Linked DNA regions of Zea mays. The protein of the gene in region 2 binds, or shares a complex with, the protein of the main gene of each other region. Links are inferred from orthologs where the notes say so. Each region holds a gene or a part of one and is shown on either strand. Other genes may lie near its edges.

Region 1 (6,358 bases), on a different chromosome or scaffold from region 2:
GGGCGCTGCGAGCCTCGAAAAATATTTTTTTGAAGCTCTGCGAGGGAGGAACACAAGAGCAGCCCAGAGGGAAAGACATCCAACACAACTAGAGAGCTCACCTCCGGACGACTTGCGCTCCCGTGCGAGCTCTGTGCCCTGCTCCTCAACATGGGCCATCACCGCCTTCAGCAATGATTCAACGTCGATTGCTTACCGGGTCGATTCCACAAACTGATGAGGTGGCGAAACTGTATACAACAGAATAATCTAAGCAAAAACACATCTAATCTAATAGATACTACTGAATATATACATAAGAAAGACAACTAAGGCGGAGAACAATGGGATGGTCGAGCAACCCTAAGACGTATAAGGCCTTAAGACCCAAAAATAGTCATCGCTGATTTCTGGCAGATTCTGGACATTATCTTGTTATGATGATTCTTATTGAATCCGAGCGTATTTTGACGTGGAACTAGTTGGGTTGGGAAGATTGTCTCTTTAGCTTTCCAATGATATTTAGAACGTCCAAAACAGAGTCCGTGTGTGACTCGAGCGTCTATTTTTGTGAGGGCTACTCCTGCACCCCAAACCAGACTTGCGAATAAATTGGATTTCAACTCCACTTTAGCTTAGAACCCTATCATTGATTGTCTTGATCATGTAGTTGGTGTTCATGTCCTCATCAAACCGGATCTTCGTTCCTTCGATTTATCCCTTGATAAAGGATATATCGAACGAATAAGACCACCATTATAATAGGTTTAAGAGAAGTAAAATAAGTAAAGATGATTGATGTCAGACATTACTAATACACTTCTTTTCTTATTTCTACTTAATTACAAATGATTACAATAATACCTTCGAGAGCTTAAGACAACAGTTCGAAGGTAGAAAAGTAATAAAGCTTTGAAGGCGGAGCGATTTCGATCCGGCAACGTGTCCTGTGTATGACATTGTGTCTATATTTATAGTGACGATTCGATGTACAACTTCATATGAAGTTATAATCATGCTCTCAAACCATATACAAGTAACCACAAAATTTGCCTGGGGAATCATCGTTTTTGTCTTCCAAAGCCTTGGTGCACACATCGGTGAGTCCTTTGTTCGTTTTCTTGTCATTCGCTTCGAGTTTGGCGACATGCTTTATCTGCACGCTTAAGCCAAAGCTTCTTCTGTTCCTCTTTTAACCTGCATTAGCGACCTTCGGCAAACATGAATTGGTTGCTCTCGGAATAAATGATAAAGTGGTTAAGATTAGTTGATTTTAATTAAGGACCTCCTGCAAAGGCTTACCCCCAACAATTGCTTTCAATGTACGGTAACGTTTAATATACTACGTATTGTGTATTAATAGAGTGATTCACTGATAATAACACACCCATTTGGTTACATGTCAAGCCAGATGACATGTCTAGAACTATCTAATCAGAGTCACAATCAATAGGGACAATCGTAGCAGTAAGCCAACACACCACTCAGCTCTTCCTACATTCAGTGGCGGATCTCCAACCGAGGCTGGGGCTGCCTGGGCTGCAGCCCGGTCGCGGCCCAAAAATCAGCGAATAAGCCCATCAGCTCCAGCCGCGCGACCGCGTGAACAGCCTCCCAGTCGTAGGTCGCTCCTCCTCCCTCTACCCACGAGCTTCAGGCCTCCAACCGCCCACGCCCCGACGCCCGGAGCACCGCTGCAACCCGCAGCGTCGCTCGCCCGGAGGCCGGACCGCCGGAACACCGCCGCTAGCCCCGCCCGGAGCACCGCCTTGACCACGCCGCTGTCCAGCCGCCACTCCGCGCTCCCTCCTTCTGCTAATTCGTGGAGCTCAGGTTTGTACACACGCGCTGAGAAGAAAGTGTGCTTAGCTATTAGCTTGTTCTTGCATTGGAGTGATGAGCCAGACAGCCAGTGATGTATGGCCTTGCCATAATGCCATGCGCGGTGTGCGGCGTGTGCCAATGCCCCTCCAAGCTTTCTGTTGGGGGTTCCTTGTTCTGTTGGGAGTTTGGGACGATGAAGGAATAGGAGGCCAAGAGAGTTTCTGCTAATCTGTGACAGATCATGCAGGAATAGGACGTCCCATGCGAACTGCGAAGCAGAAGCAACGAAGGTGAAGCTGTGATCTGTGAAGCAGACAAGCAGTGAAGGTGAAACATGTGCTATTGTTTGCTTTAAGTTTGATTTGAAATTTTGATTTGATTATTTATTTGGTAGTAATCCCATGCTTATAAGAATAGGATGGATAAATTTTTCATCAAGAACCAGAAGAAAGATGATTCTAATTCTAAAACAATTAGGATAAACGAGAGTCTTGTAAAAAAAAGACCACGTATAGTAGCTCTGGATCCGCCACTTCCTACGTTCTGTCCGCACGATTGATCGCGAGCTTCCCAACAACACGCGTCCAATAATGTAATTTTTAGAATTTATTTACTATACGGTCTGGGAAAACAATATTATTTTTTTAGAAAAAAATCCATGCCTACAATCTCTAGCCCTGGTCCAGATGCGTATGTCGAATAAAAAGGCCCATCCTGATCTCGACCCGATATCGATTGGGCCATTTCGGCATTTCCTGTTTTCACGCTTTGCTTTCGGTTTCGGGGTCGTCGTGTCGAATTGGGGGCTGAGGCCGAATTGGATCGTCAGAAGCTGGGGGTGAGGGAGGGATGGAGGCGACTGTGGACCACCTGAGCGCGGCGTACGACGACTTCATGGCGGCGGCGGCGGCTGTGGTGGAGGCCCGCGTACAGTCGGGCGGCGAGAAGAAGACGGCGGCCACGGACGCCGCGCTCGAGGCCTTCAAGCAGCGCTGGGAGATCTTCCGCGTCGCCTGCGACCACGCCGAAGAGCTCGTCGAGTCCATCCGCCAGCGCATCGGCTCCGAGTGCCTCGTCGACGAGGCCACGGGGTCCGCCTCCGCCGGATCCGTTGCCGCCCCCGGCATCAAGCCCATCAGCGCCGTCCGCCTCGAGCAGATGAGCAAGGCCGTCCGATGGCTCGTCATCGAGCTCCAGCACGGCGCCTCTGCTCAAGGGACCGGCGGCAGTGGCGGTGCCGCTACCCCAAATGCCGGCGCTGGAGGGCAACACCCGGAGGAGGGTGCCCAGTAGGTATGGACTATGGAGTTACTGAATTAAACTAGTAGCATCGCCCTTCTCATATGAAAATTGTAGCATTTTTCCTTCAATAGAAAACAAAGAACTTGTCGTTGCTGTGTTTCTATGAGTGACAGCATTAACCTTGCGTGTTGATATTTGCAAGAACATGAACTAAGGTGCCGTTTGGTTCATATATTTGTAACGTAATGGGTAATGGATAACGTTAAATCATGTTTGTTATAGTCCAACCGTAATCAGATACCGTACTAAAATTTGATACCAGCCTATTCAAATTTGTTACCGCCAGTAATCGAGCGTAAACTATTACCATTACCATTTGCGTTACATTTTTTGAACCAAACAGCACCTAAATCATTGCGATTTGCTGGCTGTTGTTTTTACCTTTCCATTTTGAGATATACTACTACTCAGCATTAATGTCTTTATGCCCATTGGTTATTGCCCAATCTTTACACAGATTGCTAAAATGCTGCTCTCCATAAAAAAAAATTATAGTGTCGTGACAAAGCATGAGAGGTATATAGATCTAATTACATGATGACCAGAAAAAAAAAACCTGGGGGTATAATGCTGCGCCAGTTTTAAGTCTGTACCTGTTTGGACCAGCCAGTGTATGGGGATTGGTTGTTGCAGTTTTTGATTTTGAGTCAACTCTTTTGTTGAGTGAAGAGATAAGGTTGGGAACTTGGGATCCCTGGTTTGAGATAGACAAAAAAACTAAAAAAGGGCTGATCCAGTGCTGGAGGCTCTCACACGAGTGGGGTCTAGGAAAGGGATGAGCTTCGAACTCACGACTTAAATTAGGTGCCGTTTGGTTCCTAAAATGTAACGTAAATGGTAACGGTAATGATTTGCATTCGATTACCAGGGGTAACAAGTTTGAATAGGCTGGTATCAATTTGTAGTGTGGTATCCAATTACAGTTGGACTTAAACAAACATGATTTAACGTTATTTGTTACCTATTACATTACAAACATATAAACCAAACAGCACCTTAGTTCCTTTATCGTTCTATAGATCCAAAGTTTTATTCACCACTGCTATGGTCCCTACAGATTCATGATATTTGAGTTAACAAAGCAGTACTGGTTTTCATTGTTCTCAGAGTATATTCACTAGTCATTTTCACAAAAGCACGAACTGAATTGAACAGTAATTTAGTAAGATGGTTACCAAGAAACCAGATATGCCCATCACTGTATCTCAAATGTATGTTAATCTATTATGTGCAGAAAAAAAAGATTTGACTATGCTACATGACAGTATGCTGATAAACTATTGGAAGTAAGCAGAAATGTGGAGATGTCATAATCTGTTTGTATCGATATTATAGGATCTGTAGACAAAGTACAATTTCACAATTTGATGGCTGCACTCAAGAGAATTGGCTGAGGACTATGAACTACTCCCTCCATTTCTAATTATAAGATTTTTTGGCTTTTCTAGATCAATAGTTTTTGCTACACACCTAGAAATATATTATGTATAGATACGCAAAAGCTATGAACCTAGAAATGCCAAAATGTTTTATAATTTGGGACAGAGGAAGCATTAGCAGAAAAAACATGCGTTTACATCCAACATGGATTAAGACGCGTTAACGCATTATCATACCAAAAACATAGATGATATGGTGAGCAAAGTGCATTATCATACCAACAACAGTAACATGGATTAAGACCACAACTGATTGTTAAAATTTGGCCACTGACTCAATATAAGCAGTGTACCTAAAAAATAGAGCTGAAATGAGATAATCTGTACAGAAACTTTAAAGGTTGTAACCAATGCCAAATTCAGAAAATAGAGCTAGATAAAATATTAGCTCCATAAGTATACCGGACTTTGATAAATGTAACATGCTGAATGATACTACTCCGTATCATGTGAGAAAAGGATCTGAGTATCTGGTCGATTAATTTAAGAATATATTAAGACCTGGAACTTCTGAACTTTAAACACAATAAACTAATAACCTAAGAGCATAGTTAAGTTATACTTGGTGTACGAGATCTTAAATCTACATTTGCAGGCCTTGTGCTGCTGTGCACACAAAATCAGGGAACACAAACTCTTAAATCAGTTCTTGAGATTAGAACCTACTTACATCTCTCTAGCATAGTCCTGTAAGCACTATTGCATTTTTCTCTTGTTACAAAAGAGACATGCCTCTGCATATCCAGTCATAGCAAAGTTAAATTGAAATAAATGCCATGAAATATATAATACTCTATTAAGAACTTAATGTGGGCACCTGTTGTTACCATGACTTCACTCCTCCGCGCTGACACTCTGGGTCCGCCCCACGCATGCCGCGCAGCTAATGTGCCTACCCAGTACTTGACCCCGCCCGTGCAGCTACCACACCGTGCAAAAAATAGTGCAAACCGAGCACTCGAACCCACACTTCCTTGCTTCGGAAATTCAGGGCTAACAATCAAACCACACTTACCTTAATGTTTAGAAATAAACAATAATTATATTTGAATAAATATCTCAATACTTATTTATATGATATACAACAATCGTAGCAAAACACGGAAATAAACAATAATTATATTTAAATAAATATCTCAATACTTATTTATATGATATATAACAACCGTAGCAAAACACGACTGGCTATTAACCTATAAATTGCCATGACATAATGACTACTTCTATTTTAGGACGGAGGGAGTAAATTGTATCGATCCATATTATTAAAAGTATGAATTCCATTCAGTTCAAATATTTTTGCCAAATTATATATGTTAACTTTGGTCTGAGTACCTCTAGAGCCTTTGCTGTTCTTAATGAAACCTTCAAATCTGAATTAAATCTAGGAAAATGTGAGCACTCAAGTTAAGTTGACGACTTGAATCCGTCCTAGTTGATAGGTTGCATGACAAAAAATCGAACCAGTACGCTGAAATGACTATGCAATTAATCGACCTAAGCGCATGTACAACCCAATTAAATAAGGGATCGCTTGAGTGGTCTATAGTAGACTAAGTGAAAAAATTAAGTGGCGGGCTTCTCTATACATAATATGTCTTGACTGTATTTATTATCTAGGGGTTTATGATTATATCATACAATTTTTTAGCTATCTTTTATATTTGGAAAATCATTCCAAAGGCTTAGAGTTTTACATGCCCTAAGGAACATTGTCCCAAACTCACAATGTCAATCCACAATTCCTATTGTCGAGGTAAAGACAATGCACTGGGAGAATGCTCTTCCTAACATGTGGGTACATTCCGTTGGGA
Region 2 (6,505 bases):
CCATACTTCATATAGAAAGGGCAAAGAGTGAATGATCTACAACCCAACTTTAGCAAAAATTGACAGATGGAATAGTGTCAGACAAAATCCCTGCACAAAATGTCCGTGATAGCAATTGACATTACAGAGGCAGAGTCTCCACTTGTGGCCTGGAGGTACTGGATTTGAAACCACTGTTATTAAAGCGTCGTTTAAACGACGTTTAAGCGTCGTTTAAGCGGTAGAACGTGATTAGAATCCAAAACGTCCACACGTTTTAATAAAATGGTGTTGGACGTCCGTTTTGGACGTTTAAGCATCGTGTAAACGTCGTGAACGCGCGTTTTGGACGTTTTAAGCGTTCTACGGACGTTCTATGTGTTAGTGGGCCTTAATGGGCCTTTAGTCACTCCCAGACGCGTTCCAGGCTTCCAGCCGCAACACGCGCCCTCAGCCGCCAGCCGCAGAACGTGCGGAGCTCTCCCTGCCGCGCCTGCTACCGCTGTCGGCCGTCCTCAGCCGCCCTCCAGGTACGTCGCCGGCCCCCCTCCTCCCTCCCCCCTCTTCCCTCCACCCACAGGGCAGTGCGCCGCCGCAAGTGTGGCTGCCCAGTGCTCCAGCCGCCGCCGCTCCATTGCTTCAGCCCATTGCTCCAGCCCATTGCTACCTCTGCGCCAGCCGCCAGTGCCCATTGCTTCACAGACCAGCAGCTGAGGGACTAGCCTGTAACCTTTGCGCCAGCCACCAGTGCCTCACCTCTGCGCCAACCGCTCTGCATCACCTCTGCGCCAACTGCCAGTGCCCATTTGCACTTGTAGATGCATACCAAAAAGAGGAATAGGTTAGAGCACAAAAGGTTGAATGACTTGGTATATGTTTCATACAACAGAAAGATGGCTGATAGGTTTCAAAAAATACATGAGGAAGGAAAAAACTTTGATCCTTTGATTTTAGAAGACTTTGATTGGGACAATGAATGGGTTGATCCATTAGCTAATTCTTCTCATGTTAGCAATGCTTTTGGAGATGATTTCAATTTATCATGGGACCAAGTTGATGAAGCTATTGGTGCATCTGCACATCTCAGAGGTCGTAATTTTCCTAGGAGAGCTGGTGGTGGGTGTGTGAGAAGGAATGAAGACCTTGAGGAAGAGGAGACTAATTTAGCAAATGAAGATGATGAGGAATATATTCTTGATGATCTTGATGTGGAAGATGAAATTGAAGGAAGCAATAGTGGAAAAGATGGTGACGATCAAGGCGCTATGCTCATGGTCTTAATATCGATGAGTTCGATGATGGTTACTAATCATGCATAAAAGTTGTAACTTGTGTGGTTGAACTTGTGTTGTTGAACTTGATATGTTTCTTTTTATGCTAATGCTATTTGGTTTGTGAACTCAACTTATGTATGAACTTATTCTATATTTGAAATTCTATGTCAAGTCTGAAAAGACGTTTCAACGTTCGTTTAAACGTTTAAACGTTGAAAAGTTGGTTCATAACGTTTTAACGTTTTACCGCTTTAATAACCATGTTTGAAACAGCCTCCTTGCATAATTATGCGAGGGTGAGGCTGTTGAGAATCCCCTTCTCCAGAACCCACATTGTGTTCAGCTTTCAGCACTAGGTACACAGCTGACAGCCTGACATAACAACAAAATTAAGGTACAGTGGGGCATATTTAAAGGAATCCATTGGCTCAGTGGAATGATGTAAAATGCCATTAAATCAACCTCAGTACTTCTGGATCCGTTGAGGAAGTGCTCTTTGGACTAGTTCAGTGCTATATCTAAGCTTGGTTGGGACAAAGGAAATCTTAAACTTTTCATTGTCCTTGTCAACTTATTTTTTACTAGACAGTCTCATTTTTCTGTCCTACGTTTAATTACATTTGTAGCACAGAAATTATATGTCAAGTTGTCAATTAAATTTAAAAGAAAAGGATTTTATGGATGTGAACCAGATAATGAGCAATCTAATAAAAATCAGAATACTTCATCTTGATTTTGTTACAAAACAAAAGTGGCTTGCACGATTGCACTAGGATTAGCTTGCACCAAATATATGCTAGAAACAAATATTTATGACAGCATAACAACCACATTACCACAGTTCAAACCATATAGTGAAATATTACAATTTGAAATGGAAGCAATATAAATCAATGAGACTCCCGTGATAAAAAAAAACTCGGCCGGGGAGGGAAAGACCGCCCTCCCGGTATTATATTAAGAAGAGACCGAAACAATGGTCCCGGCCGAGAAAATCCCCGAACCCTGGCCCCCAATCACTAACGGGCCGGCGTCAACTGTCCACTCTGCAACGGCCCAACCGGAGGGTGGCGCACAGGACATCGTAACCCAAAAGCGGATGGGACACAGCGAGGGGATTTTTTTAACCAAGCCTGAAAATTCGCTCCCGGGGGGAAATCGAACCCAGGACTTGGAGGTGCTACTCGGAAGTCCTTAACCACTAGGCTAGAGGCCCTTTCGCGACTCCCGTGATATATAATGCATTTTCAATGGTTTAATAGTTTAATTATTAAATTATATTTGTTGATTTTACATTCCCCTGATCTATGTGTGCATGGTGGTTCGCAGTTCGCACTATTTCAAGTACATTGTAAAACGGTCTTATTTCACTCGTCGTTTATGCTAGAGCACACCATGACAGCACCAGAAAAATAATATAAGTTTCTAGTGCGAAACAAATTGAGCTTTTTCATAATACCACTGCACCAAAACAAAATAAACAAATCAATGAGTATGCCAAGATTGAACTGGATTACATTTTGTCCACCAAACAATCATTTGTGTCCTACTAGGAACTGGAGTACAGACCCTACAAAATTAGGGGCAAAAATGCTGGCACAATTCATCAACAATCACCAATCTTCACTATCCCACTACACTGCAATAAGACAACAACTATGAATATCCTTCTTTACATGCCACTCGAGCTAGATAGGTGAGACAATGCCACTAAACCAAACTAAAACAGGATATTAGGCACTCACACCAGTCAGATTGAATTCTTAGCATACCTCAGCAGAATTATGACAAGGAGACAGACAAGCAAGAGAAATAGCAAAGACTGAAATTAGGCATCACCTGCTGACACCACTTGGCAAGGACGTGGAGACGAAGCATGCGCTGGCGTGTGCGTGTGATGAACTTGAGCAAGTCAATCTTCTTCTCGGTGTCGGACCGCTGCCAGCTGCCATTGGCTCCGGCGCCGATGCCCTTCCCCTCGGCCTCCGCCTGCGACTTCTCCACGAGCTCCCGCAGAGCGAGATAAGACTCCTCCGCCGCACGCCGCACCACCGCGCCCAGCTCCACCGTCTGCTGCCCCAGCTCCCCTGCCATCCCCGCACGCACGCCCGTCCCGAACAGCTAGGGTTTCAGCGCCCACCACCTACACATTCTCCAGTTCCTTCTCCTAATTAACTCCGCAAAGCGCCGGAGACGAAACTCTAGCCCTGTATCGCCAACGTGCGCACGCGTGGGCCGGGAGGAATCTCGCAGGATTCGCCGCGCCTCCCCGTGAATAGTGGTGGAAGAGGGAGTGGAACTGAAATTGGAAACCACTCAGTCAAGGGTAAGGCTCAGGGAGGGGACCGAGGGTGGCCGCGAGAGAGGGTGAAAAGGAGAGAGATGGTGGAAGCGAGAGACGGAGGTCGGCGGCGGCGAAGCGGCGGCGTGGGTACGGCCTCCTCTCTCTCTCTCTCTCGCTTCTGCGATCGATGAGTTCAGGACCGGCGGAGGGTGCGAGTGCGCCCTAGTCGACGGGCCCACGCGGAACCGGAGGCCTGGGCTAGTAGCCTAAGGGCATGTACAATGAGTATCTTAAGTTGTGTCTTAGAGTGTGTCTAGGGGGGTGAATGTAAAAAAACTCAAGACATGTATCTTGACGAAGACACAGTGTCTTAGCTCTATGTTCGAGACAGGAGGCTAGCTGATTGGTCACTTTAATTTATTGAATGCTCTGATTGGTACAATGAATATGGTAAGACACACGTTTTAGACACGACCACTGTATTGTGTTGTGTTTTAGCTGTGTCTTATACTTGAAGTACCGTGCAGTCGTATCTGGGTTGTACATGCCCTAAGGGCATGTACAGTGGAGAGACACCAAAACGGTTCTCTAAGCACAGGAGACAACTAAGAGACTCTATTGTACAATGGAGTGTCTCTAAACGTAGTCGGTTAATAAATACAGAATTAAATGTATTTGTATAGCATCAGATCGATAGAACAGACGACAAATTCGTACAGTGGGAAGTGAGGCGTTTGTTGTTACTTGGTTTACGAGCCAGAGGCGTCTCTTCACGGAGAGACGGCTCTAAGATTTTTTTGCAAATAACCCCCTAAAACACCTTAAGAGCCCCCATATTAAACACCACTGTACATGCCCTAAGAAATACAGAGGTTATTGCCGAGGAGGTGACTGTCTTTGGAGCATTAATGCAATAATTGAAAGGTATGATTCACCGACTATATTTGTATGTTATGTATATCAAAAACTTTACATTTATTTATCTATTTACGTTATTGCCTTTATAGTGATGTTTGTTGTTATTTTTATAGATGATTATGCTAAATGATATCACATTTGTACATCTAATAGACGGAGGAGGACTAGCACTCTAACAAGTGTTTGGGTAGCTTTAAAAGCTCTTCCTATCCTTGTGAAGAAACCACACATTGGTGCTAAGGAATTACAAAGTTCACTTCAAGATACCTACAAATGCATAATTGCTCATGACACAGTTTGATATGGAAAAGAGAAAGCCTTGAAAGTGTTGTTTGTAACTTGAGAAGAGAGCTTCCAACTATTGTGCTCTTGGAAGGAGGTAGTGTTGCATAAGTCACCTTATAGTGTCATTTGTTGAATTAATGTGGGTCTGGCCCATATTAATATTCAATAATAGTCAATGCTAAAGGCCCATTTTAATGCTACGGTGTACTAGTACTTTAGTATAATACCAGAAGTTTAAGGGACAATTCAATCAACTTAAATAGGTGGTCCGTTGGTGCATCTATTGAGAAGCTGAGAAAAGGATGAAGGACTGCCACACGTGCGCGCGCCGCCGACCGGGCAGGACCGTGGCCGTGGCTAGGGCTGGGAAAAAAGCTCGAACTCGACGAGTGTTTGGCACTTGTTCTCAAAAGCTTTGAATCAAGAACAAGGCAACACAAATGTTAATGGTTATAGACCTTTGTCCTTCATCACATTATCTCCCTTAGGATATAATGATCTTCGGACGAAGGTTACGAAGGACATACCTTCTTCATTGCAATATACAGAGATATAAACACGATCGTAAGAAACATAGAGAAAGTATGAATAATCATTTTAGAAAGAGTGATGTGCAAGTGATTATAAGTCAGCGTGAACAATACATGGGTACTGTTCATCTATTTATAGGCACAGGACGCAGCTCGGACAAAATTACATTTGTATCCTTCATAGTTATAACCATGACACAAATTATCAGGGACTAAGCGATCTTTTCCTCTCTAAGTCGGTGCTGCCCTTCGTCTCAAGCGTGTCATCATGCCGAAGCTCTTTCAACTGTAGCTTCGGCATATATCTTCATGTTGTGCCTGCTTGCATATCACCTTGCTGAAGGTGTTTTTGCTTAGGGGACCTTCGGCGAAGAAGAAGGCCCCCAACAATAGCCCCTTCGCGGTGTAGATCGTTTTTCGTAATGAGCTCGATCCGCGAAAAAACTCGAAGGCTTCGGAATGCCGAAGGTCCGAAAAACACCTTCCCTGAGCTCGTTGCCGAGAAACGATTATAATATTCCAGGCGTCGAGCGGTCCACCATTCAGCGAGCGCAGGCAGCCTGGCGGTTTGCCTTCCCCCTGCAGCACTATATAAACAGACGGGTTGGTGAAGAGTTACCAAAACATTCATTGTCATTGCACTTCATCGTTTTAAGGTTAACTTCGTCAGACGGGTTAGCTTCGTCAAACTGTAAAAATCTATCAAAATGGCCAGAGTGCAATCAACTGCAAGGGTGTCTCGTGAGAGAGACAAAACCGAAGCTACTGAAACGACACCAATTTCAGAAGTAATGGAACGATCAGGTCTAGTTGTGACAGAGGGAGTTGTTGACGAAGGTGCTCCTGATGCCAAAGCTGAACAAACTGTTGCTGAAGAAGAAAATGCTGATGAGAGTGAAGAAGATTATAGTATTTTGATCCCAACAAAGCCCAGTCAACTTGAATTTGAAAAATCTACCGTGACGGAGGATGACATGCCGATGATGATGAAATTGGGTTATTTTGGTGAAGCTGAAAGCAAACTTGTCCGATTTGCTGTAGAAGAGACTACCCCAGAGCCGAAGAATGATGAAGTAGTGGTTTTCAAGAGCTTCTTCAGAGCGGGGCTTCGGTTTCCCCTGAATGAGATGATTGGGGTAGTCCTAAAGAACTTCGAAATATATCTTCATCAGCTGACTCCTAACGCCATTGTTAGGCTTAGCGTTTTTATCTGGGCCCTCCGAAGCCAAGGGATG
Region 3 (6,505 bases), on a different chromosome or scaffold from region 2:
ATATATTTTAAATGTGGCTTTTAATTTTTTATTTTTTCGTAAAAAATGGATAGGACAAGCCAATCAAACACGATAAAAAAGTCAAATAAATTTTAAATTGGAACAGAGGGTGTATTTTCTAATGATTTTTTTGTATGCTATTGCTTACTGCTTTGAACCGTTTGCCATATCAGCGTGCTCGACGGCTGACGTGTGTTTCTCTCTATTTGGGCCAACAAAAAAAATTCGAGACATTTTTTTATCTTGGTTTAGTTTAGAGTATGATCATATTCGCTAAAGCTCTGCCTTCTTACATGGAGTAGTTTTTTTTTGTAAAACAAAATCCATTTTGTAATATATATTTGAAACGGTACATCATGTAATTTTGGAACAATTTGTGTTAATAATGTGAGTAGAACCCAACAGAAGTGATGTTTCCGCGCTTGTCTTTTTAGATGATCATTTCAAATCACATGTTGTTCTAATGTTGTTTGATGTTTAAATTTTGTTTTAAGTGAAACTTTTCTAGGTTTAACTAAATTGTATAGAAATCATATAAAGGCCTATTGACGTTCTCATGAATTATGATGCAAGGTAAACATTTGACTGGACTGACAAAAGTGCATTCCGTTGCATGTGCGGCAATTCCGTACAGACTGCTGCCGTTCAGCTTCACGTCAACTGATTATTATCCTTTTCATGACCGGATACTGAATGTGGCGGCCCCGGTGTAATGTGGCCATAAAACGCGTTAAAACCAACCGTTTCTAGACACGGCCTTTGTGCTGCTGGCCTGCTGCTGCTTGTTCTTCCTGTTCACCTTCCTCCTCCTCCCTATAAATTTGACTAGAATGCAACCAATCCTTGGTCATGTTCTCTGGCAAACACACACACACACACACACACACACACACACACACACACACACACACACATCGTTTGCTGTTGCAACAAAGCTCTACACGGGAAGACAGGCTGCTTCTTTCTTGCAGTCTCTGGTCCAGAAGCCTGAAGAAATGGCGTCACCCAACGTCACATTCCTTGCCTTCTTCGTGGCCCTCGCACTATCGGCGCTTCACACCGACGGTAAAGGATCCCTCGTCTCTGGCTGCTTTATCCACTAACAATCTGGCACTGAAATCAAATCCCATCTTCTTCAGCAGCAGCGGCGGCGGCAGAAACCTTGCACCATAGGAGCGACACATGGTGCGTGGCCAAGCCGTCGACGCAGGAGGCGGCGCTGCGGGGCAACCTGGAGTTCGCCTGCTCCGAGAGCGACTGCGGCGCCATCCAGGGCACCGGCGGCTGCGCCCAGCCCGACAGCCTGCTGTCGCGGGCGTCGGTGGCCATGAACGCCTACTACCAGGCCCGGGGGAGGAACTCGTGGAACTGCTTCTTCAACGGCACCGGCATAATCACCATCACTGACCCCAGTGAGTGCTTCCTTGCTTGCTGTGAGTGTCTCATTGCCCGTGAACCGTGTTGGGGGAGCTGACACCGGATGATGGATCATTGGATCCTCTTGCAGGCCTTGGCACCTGCAAATATGCTTGACACGACGGGCTGCTCTGCTGCTGCTGTGCTCAACGGACGATGAATAAGGCTGTAGGGGAATGATGCATCTTTTCCTTCTCTTTGTTTTGTTATTGTGTCTGTGTGAGTGAGCAGGGAGTATCCTTGCAGAACCAACCAGTATCATGTCTGAGCACTGTAGAGAGAATTTCCGTGCTTTTATTTCCCAAATACAGTTCTACTCCAGGCCAGTGGCTGGAGGGGAGTTTAGGAACAGGTGTCAAAGGTCTCAGGTACTGAACAAATACCAAAATATAGAAGAAATCCCAGAGGAAGCCAGGTGCCAGATCCATTAAAAAGACCACCACAGTTCAAGCGTCAGTTCATACTAAAAACATTGCACCTTACAACCAAAGGTCAATCCTAATCCGGCAGATCAGAATGCCAGTACACAAAAGCTAAGTGCAATTATTGTTCACTAGTAGAGAATCTGAAAAGACGGAATATAAAGTTCTTACTGGCATTCATCCTCCACACTCCATCCACAGGAACAGTTTCTTTTCAGCAAACCTGCTATGGCAGACATTGGATTTACGTCAACACAATATCTTATGAGCTAGATCGGTTTCCAACACTTGATGCCAAATACATACAAAACCAAGAAGTAACTGTTGGAGCCAAATTAAAAGAGAAATTGACTTTGACAGTGCATTGATAAGTTGTAGGAAGAAATTCATCTCAACTTACATTAACGTAATTAATCTAGCTTCTTAAAATTTATGCAATTGTCTGTTGCTTCATTAAACAGCACCTCAACCTGCTTCAACTCCCTTTCTGTAACGCAATGACATCAGTAATTAGACATATAATAGTAAGAACTCTAGAAACAGTGGGGATCGTGTTACCGGCAGCTTCAAGTTGCTTCTGGAGCTCCAGTCCCACGACTTCATTCTCTGCCTGCAAATTTCAGATTTTCATACAGTTTATTTGGAGTAGGAGTTTGGCAGATGCCCATCCTGTGCTCGATGAATTAATCTGACTGTCTGATATCTACCTGTAGCTCTTGGATTCTTTTCACTTGATCCTCTTCTGATGATAGTGGCACTGCTGCAACAAGTGCATCAAACTGCATAGAAGGCCATAATTGTTCCTCATTTAAGGGGAAAAAGTTGGAACTGCAGCAAGCATAATTTGAACTAAAGTTTGCCAGTCTTTACATTTCAAGTTTTCAACCATGGTTAACACAAAGTGATCTCCCTCACTCCCTCCCTCCCGTATGCATCACTCTACGTCTGTACGCTGTTGTTGGGATAAACATCTTATCTTAGGAAATGGAGCAAGAGATGAAGATTCTACGTCTGTACGCTGTTGTTGGGATAAACATCTTATCTTATGAAATGGAGCAAGAGATGAAGACTCTACGTTATGTACATTGTTGGGATAAACATCTTATCTTATGTAATGGAGCAAGAGATGAAGATTGTTCTGTACACTGTTGGGATAAACATCTTATCTTATGCAATGGAGCAAGATATGAAGACTAGTAAGTGGCAACACGGTTTCATTGTTTGTCTCCACATAACGCGGGCAAGCAAGCAAAAATTAAACAGTTGGTCCTTCACTTATTCGCAGCATCAGACTTACGAGTAAAACTACGAAGCGAGCCGAAACTTTCTACTTAACCACACAAAGATATTTTGGAATCACCGGGCGGGCATTTGGTCCAGAAGATGGGGACACCGAGAAGAGAAGTGGGGCAGGGTACCTACCTTCTTGGCCGCGAGGACGAGGGCGCGGCTCATAGCCTTGGGTTGCTCGGTGAGGTCAGGCGCGGGCGGCTGCGCCTGCGCCTGCGCCTGCGCCGGTGGCGGCGGCGGCGCGCCGGGCTGGGCCTGGACCTGGGGTTTGGAGTCGTCCTCGGGCTTAGGGTTGGGGTTGAGCGGGTCAGGGTAGCTGCTGGAGAGGCGGTCCGGCGGCGCGTCCCTCTGCAGCGTGCCGAAGGTGTTGACGGCCAGCACGGCCATCTCGTCGAGCTGGTCCTGCAGCTGCGTGATGATGTCCATGCCGAATCCCCACCACTCTCTCCCTCTTCTCCTTCCTCCGTCCCAGACTTGCAGGACGGCGGCTTTATTGTAGCAGGCCGATTTCATCCAGGAATGGGTCTGCAGGATCCAGCCCACGTAGCATGGACCAGGCCGGATCTAAAAAATGTATGTGCCGGTATTCAAAAGATGCTCGCTCATATTCCTGGGATACCACCAAGTCTTCCGGTCACCACACATTTGCAGAATGCTGAGCCATCGGCAATTTTACCATTGTCATTTATAGGCTTCATTAATATGACGTCGGACCCTAAATTATAGACACAGATGATTCTATCAGTTATAGATATGGGATAATATAATAAAGTCAAAACTGAGAGTGACAAAATTATAAATTGTTTGGCACCAAAAGGAGCGCGGACGGAGGCCGGACAGTCCGCGGTCCGGACAGTCCGCGCCTGTGGGCCGGACGGTCCGTGCGTGCGCAGAGTAAATTAGGGTTCCGAGTTTTGTGCTATGTTTGTTAGCTAAAATCGCGGGAAAAGCTCGGAAATTAGTTTGTAAAGGGTCCAGCCCCCTCCTCTATAAATAGAGAGGTATACGGCCGATTTGTAATCATCAATCGAATCAATACAACTTATATTTCACATTTATTTCCTGTACAATTAGGAGTAGTTCTAGTCTAGTTCTAGTTTAGCCTCTCGATCCCCAAATCTTCCGCCTCTCCTCGACTCTACGTCGATTAGAGAAGTCTAGGTCAGTCTACCCGAGCCTAGACACCACCTAGGATCTCTCCTCCCCGACGGGGTCCCTCCCGGGAGCGAGATCCAGGCGCCGCCGGCGATCTCCCGCCGCCCCTGCGCACGCGCGGACCGTCCGGCCCTAGGGCGCGGACCATCCGGCCGTCAGGCAGGGAACCTTAGCTCCTGCGCCAGGTCGCGGACCGTCCGGCCCTGTGTCGCGGACCGTCCGCGCCTGACCAGAGAGCACCACCGCCTCGCGCCAAGTCGCGGACCGTCCGGTCCTGTGCCGCGGACCGTCCGCGCCTGACCAGAGAGCACCGCCGCTGGTTTTTTTAAGTGATTGGCGCCTCCAAAAAGGTGTCAACATACTTTTTGGCGACTCCGCTGGGGACACAAATATAGACGCATCAAATCGGCCCTCAATGGCCGGTTCAAGAGATAGCTCTAATATTTCCCCAAGCAACATCATAGAGCCGACTTAGGAGACCTTGCCGGCTGACGAACAGCTCCAGTTCGAGGAGCACAAGGAGCAGATGATCCAGGAGGCAAAAGCGAGGTTCTTGGCCAACTTCAAAGTGGACAGGAACAACAAAGTCGTCCGACATCGGGCGACAGATCCGGCTTCACTGCGACCCACGCCAGACATCCCCAATGTAAGTAATACAAACGAGCTGTAATCTCTTAAGAATTATGTAGATGAACAGCGTGAACAAATGCAAAATATCATAGGGGATATGCAAAACGACTATAGGAGATTAGCGCGTGCATTTGACAAATCTAGCATTGCAAATTTTCCATCACACGAGGTAGAATTAGGGGGTAACACGCGTAATACATCGGTTGTAGATTGTCACGACCAGTCACAACCCCTTTATGGGATGCCGATAGACACGTACCCTGAGCAACCGCAAATCGGCAGCAAAACAGCCGATCTGCACATGTCCGGACCGTCCGCACGTGAGCGCGGACCGTCCGGGCCAGCCACGGCCGAACCCATTTTTAATGAAGTACCCAGACACGCACCCGAGCCACCACATATGACACAGAACCCAAACTACCTAGTCGGACGATCCGCATACAACGACGGACGGTCCGCATATAACCACGGACGGTCCGGGTACGTATCCGGACAGTCCGCGCATGAGTCTTTTGAGGAGGATTATTACCTGAATCCTCGCCCATCCCAGCAACACTTCCCATCGCACTATGCAATGCATCAACACATTAATTCGAGATCTAGAGGCCAGGAAAACTTTCCGGTCCCACCTAGAAGGCCGAAAAGGAACGATCAAACATATGAACCATATAGGGCAAGTGGCAATGCACCACGTAGCTCAAACCAATGGAGAGAAAGACAACATACTAACATACAACCAACCCCACCTATGTTTGACCAGAGAGCCGGTGGTCTTGCACCGGCTGCCATTGATATAGTAAGGGAAGAAATAGCCGGGGCGTTCCGAGATAAGCTCGGAGTAAGCATGGTCCCTGAGGGGCAATCATATCGGAGACCTTATGACAGCCGATTTGATCACCACCCATACCCACAGGGAACCAGGATACCCGAATTCGCAAAATTTTCGGGTGATCAAGGAAAGAACACGTGAACACATAGGCCAGTTTTTAGCACAATTAGGAGAATTGGCTGACACGGAGGCATTTCGCGTACGTTTGTTTTCATTATCTCTAACAGGAACCGCGTTTGCATGGTATGCCACTTTACCTCCTAATTCTATTTCATCATGGGGGGATCTAGAACAAAAATTTCATGACCATTTTTTCTCCGGTGACTACGAGTTGGATTTGGTAGATTTAGTGTCATTGCGACAGACAAAAGATGAATCGGTTAATGATTACATCCGGAGATTCCGAGATACAAGAAACCGATGCTTCCAAATTCATTTAGCAGAAAAACAGCTAGCAGGATTAGCCTTTAATGGTCTATGAAAGTCGCCTAGAGGGGGGGTGAATAGGGCGAAACTGAAATTTACAAAATTAATCACAACTACAAGCCGGGTTAGCGTTAGAAATAATAATGAGTCCGAGAGAGAGGGCACAAAACAAATCGCAAGCGAATGAAGAGTGTGACACGTGGATTTGTTTTACCGAGGTTCGGTTCTCGCAAACCTACTCCCCGTTGAGGAGGCCATAAAGGTCGGGTCTCTTTCAACCCTTACCCTCTCTCAAACGGTCCCACGGACCGAGTGAGCTTCTCTTCTCAAATCAAAC

What was found. The genes of interacting proteins can lie anywhere in the genome.
Region 1: mediator of RNA polymerase II transcription subunit 14 (region 2) and Mediator of RNA polymerase II transcription subunit 32-like share a complex: the UniProt entries of both Arabidopsis thaliana proteins name them as parts of the mediator complex. The link is inferred for Zea mays from reciprocal best matches to the Arabidopsis thaliana genes SWP and MED32.
Region 3: mediator of RNA polymerase II transcription subunit 14 (region 2) and Mediator of RNA polymerase II transcription subunit 21 share a complex: the UniProt entries of both Arabidopsis thaliana proteins name them as parts of the mediator complex. The link is inferred for Zea mays from reciprocal best matches to the Arabidopsis thaliana genes SWP and MED21.

What each region holds. Positions count from the first base shown.
Region 1 is NC_050101.1:142,577,104-142,583,461, reverse strand, and holds Mediator of RNA polymerase II transcription subunit 32-like, read left to right. Parts: upstream 1-2,533; 5' UTR 2,534-2,652; coding exon 2,653-3,096; intron 3,097-4,339; 3' UTR 4,340-4,552; downstream 4,553-6,358. UniProt on the Arabidopsis thaliana protein: Component of the Mediator complex, a coactivator involved in the regulated transcription of nearly all RNA polymerase II-dependent genes.
Region 2 is NC_050097.1:176,302,023-176,308,527, forward strand, and holds the start of mediator of RNA polymerase II transcription subunit 14, read right to left. Parts: upstream 3,842-6,505; 5' UTR 3,348-3,841; coding exon 3,093-3,347; intron 1-3,092. UniProt on the Arabidopsis thaliana protein: Component of the Mediator complex, a coactivator involved in the regulated transcription of nearly all RNA polymerase II-dependent genes.
Region 3 is NC_050099.1:37,997,408-38,003,912, reverse strand, and holds Mediator of RNA polymerase II transcription subunit 21, read right to left. Parts: upstream 3,555-6,505; coding exon 3,261-3,554; intron 2,618-3,260; coding exon 2,546-2,617; intron 2,449-2,545; coding exon 2,397-2,448; intron 2,326-2,396; coding exon 2,249-2,325; 3' UTR 2,239-2,248; intron 2,065-2,238; exon of another isoform or gene 2,062-2,064; 3' UTR 1,807-2,061; downstream 1-1,806. Other genes in the region: putative X8 domain containing family protein isoform 1 precursor, read left to right, coding at 996-1,065, 1,140-1,412, 1,508-1,533. UniProt on the Arabidopsis thaliana protein: Component of the Mediator complex, a coactivator involved in the regulated transcription of nearly all RNA polymerase II-dependent genes.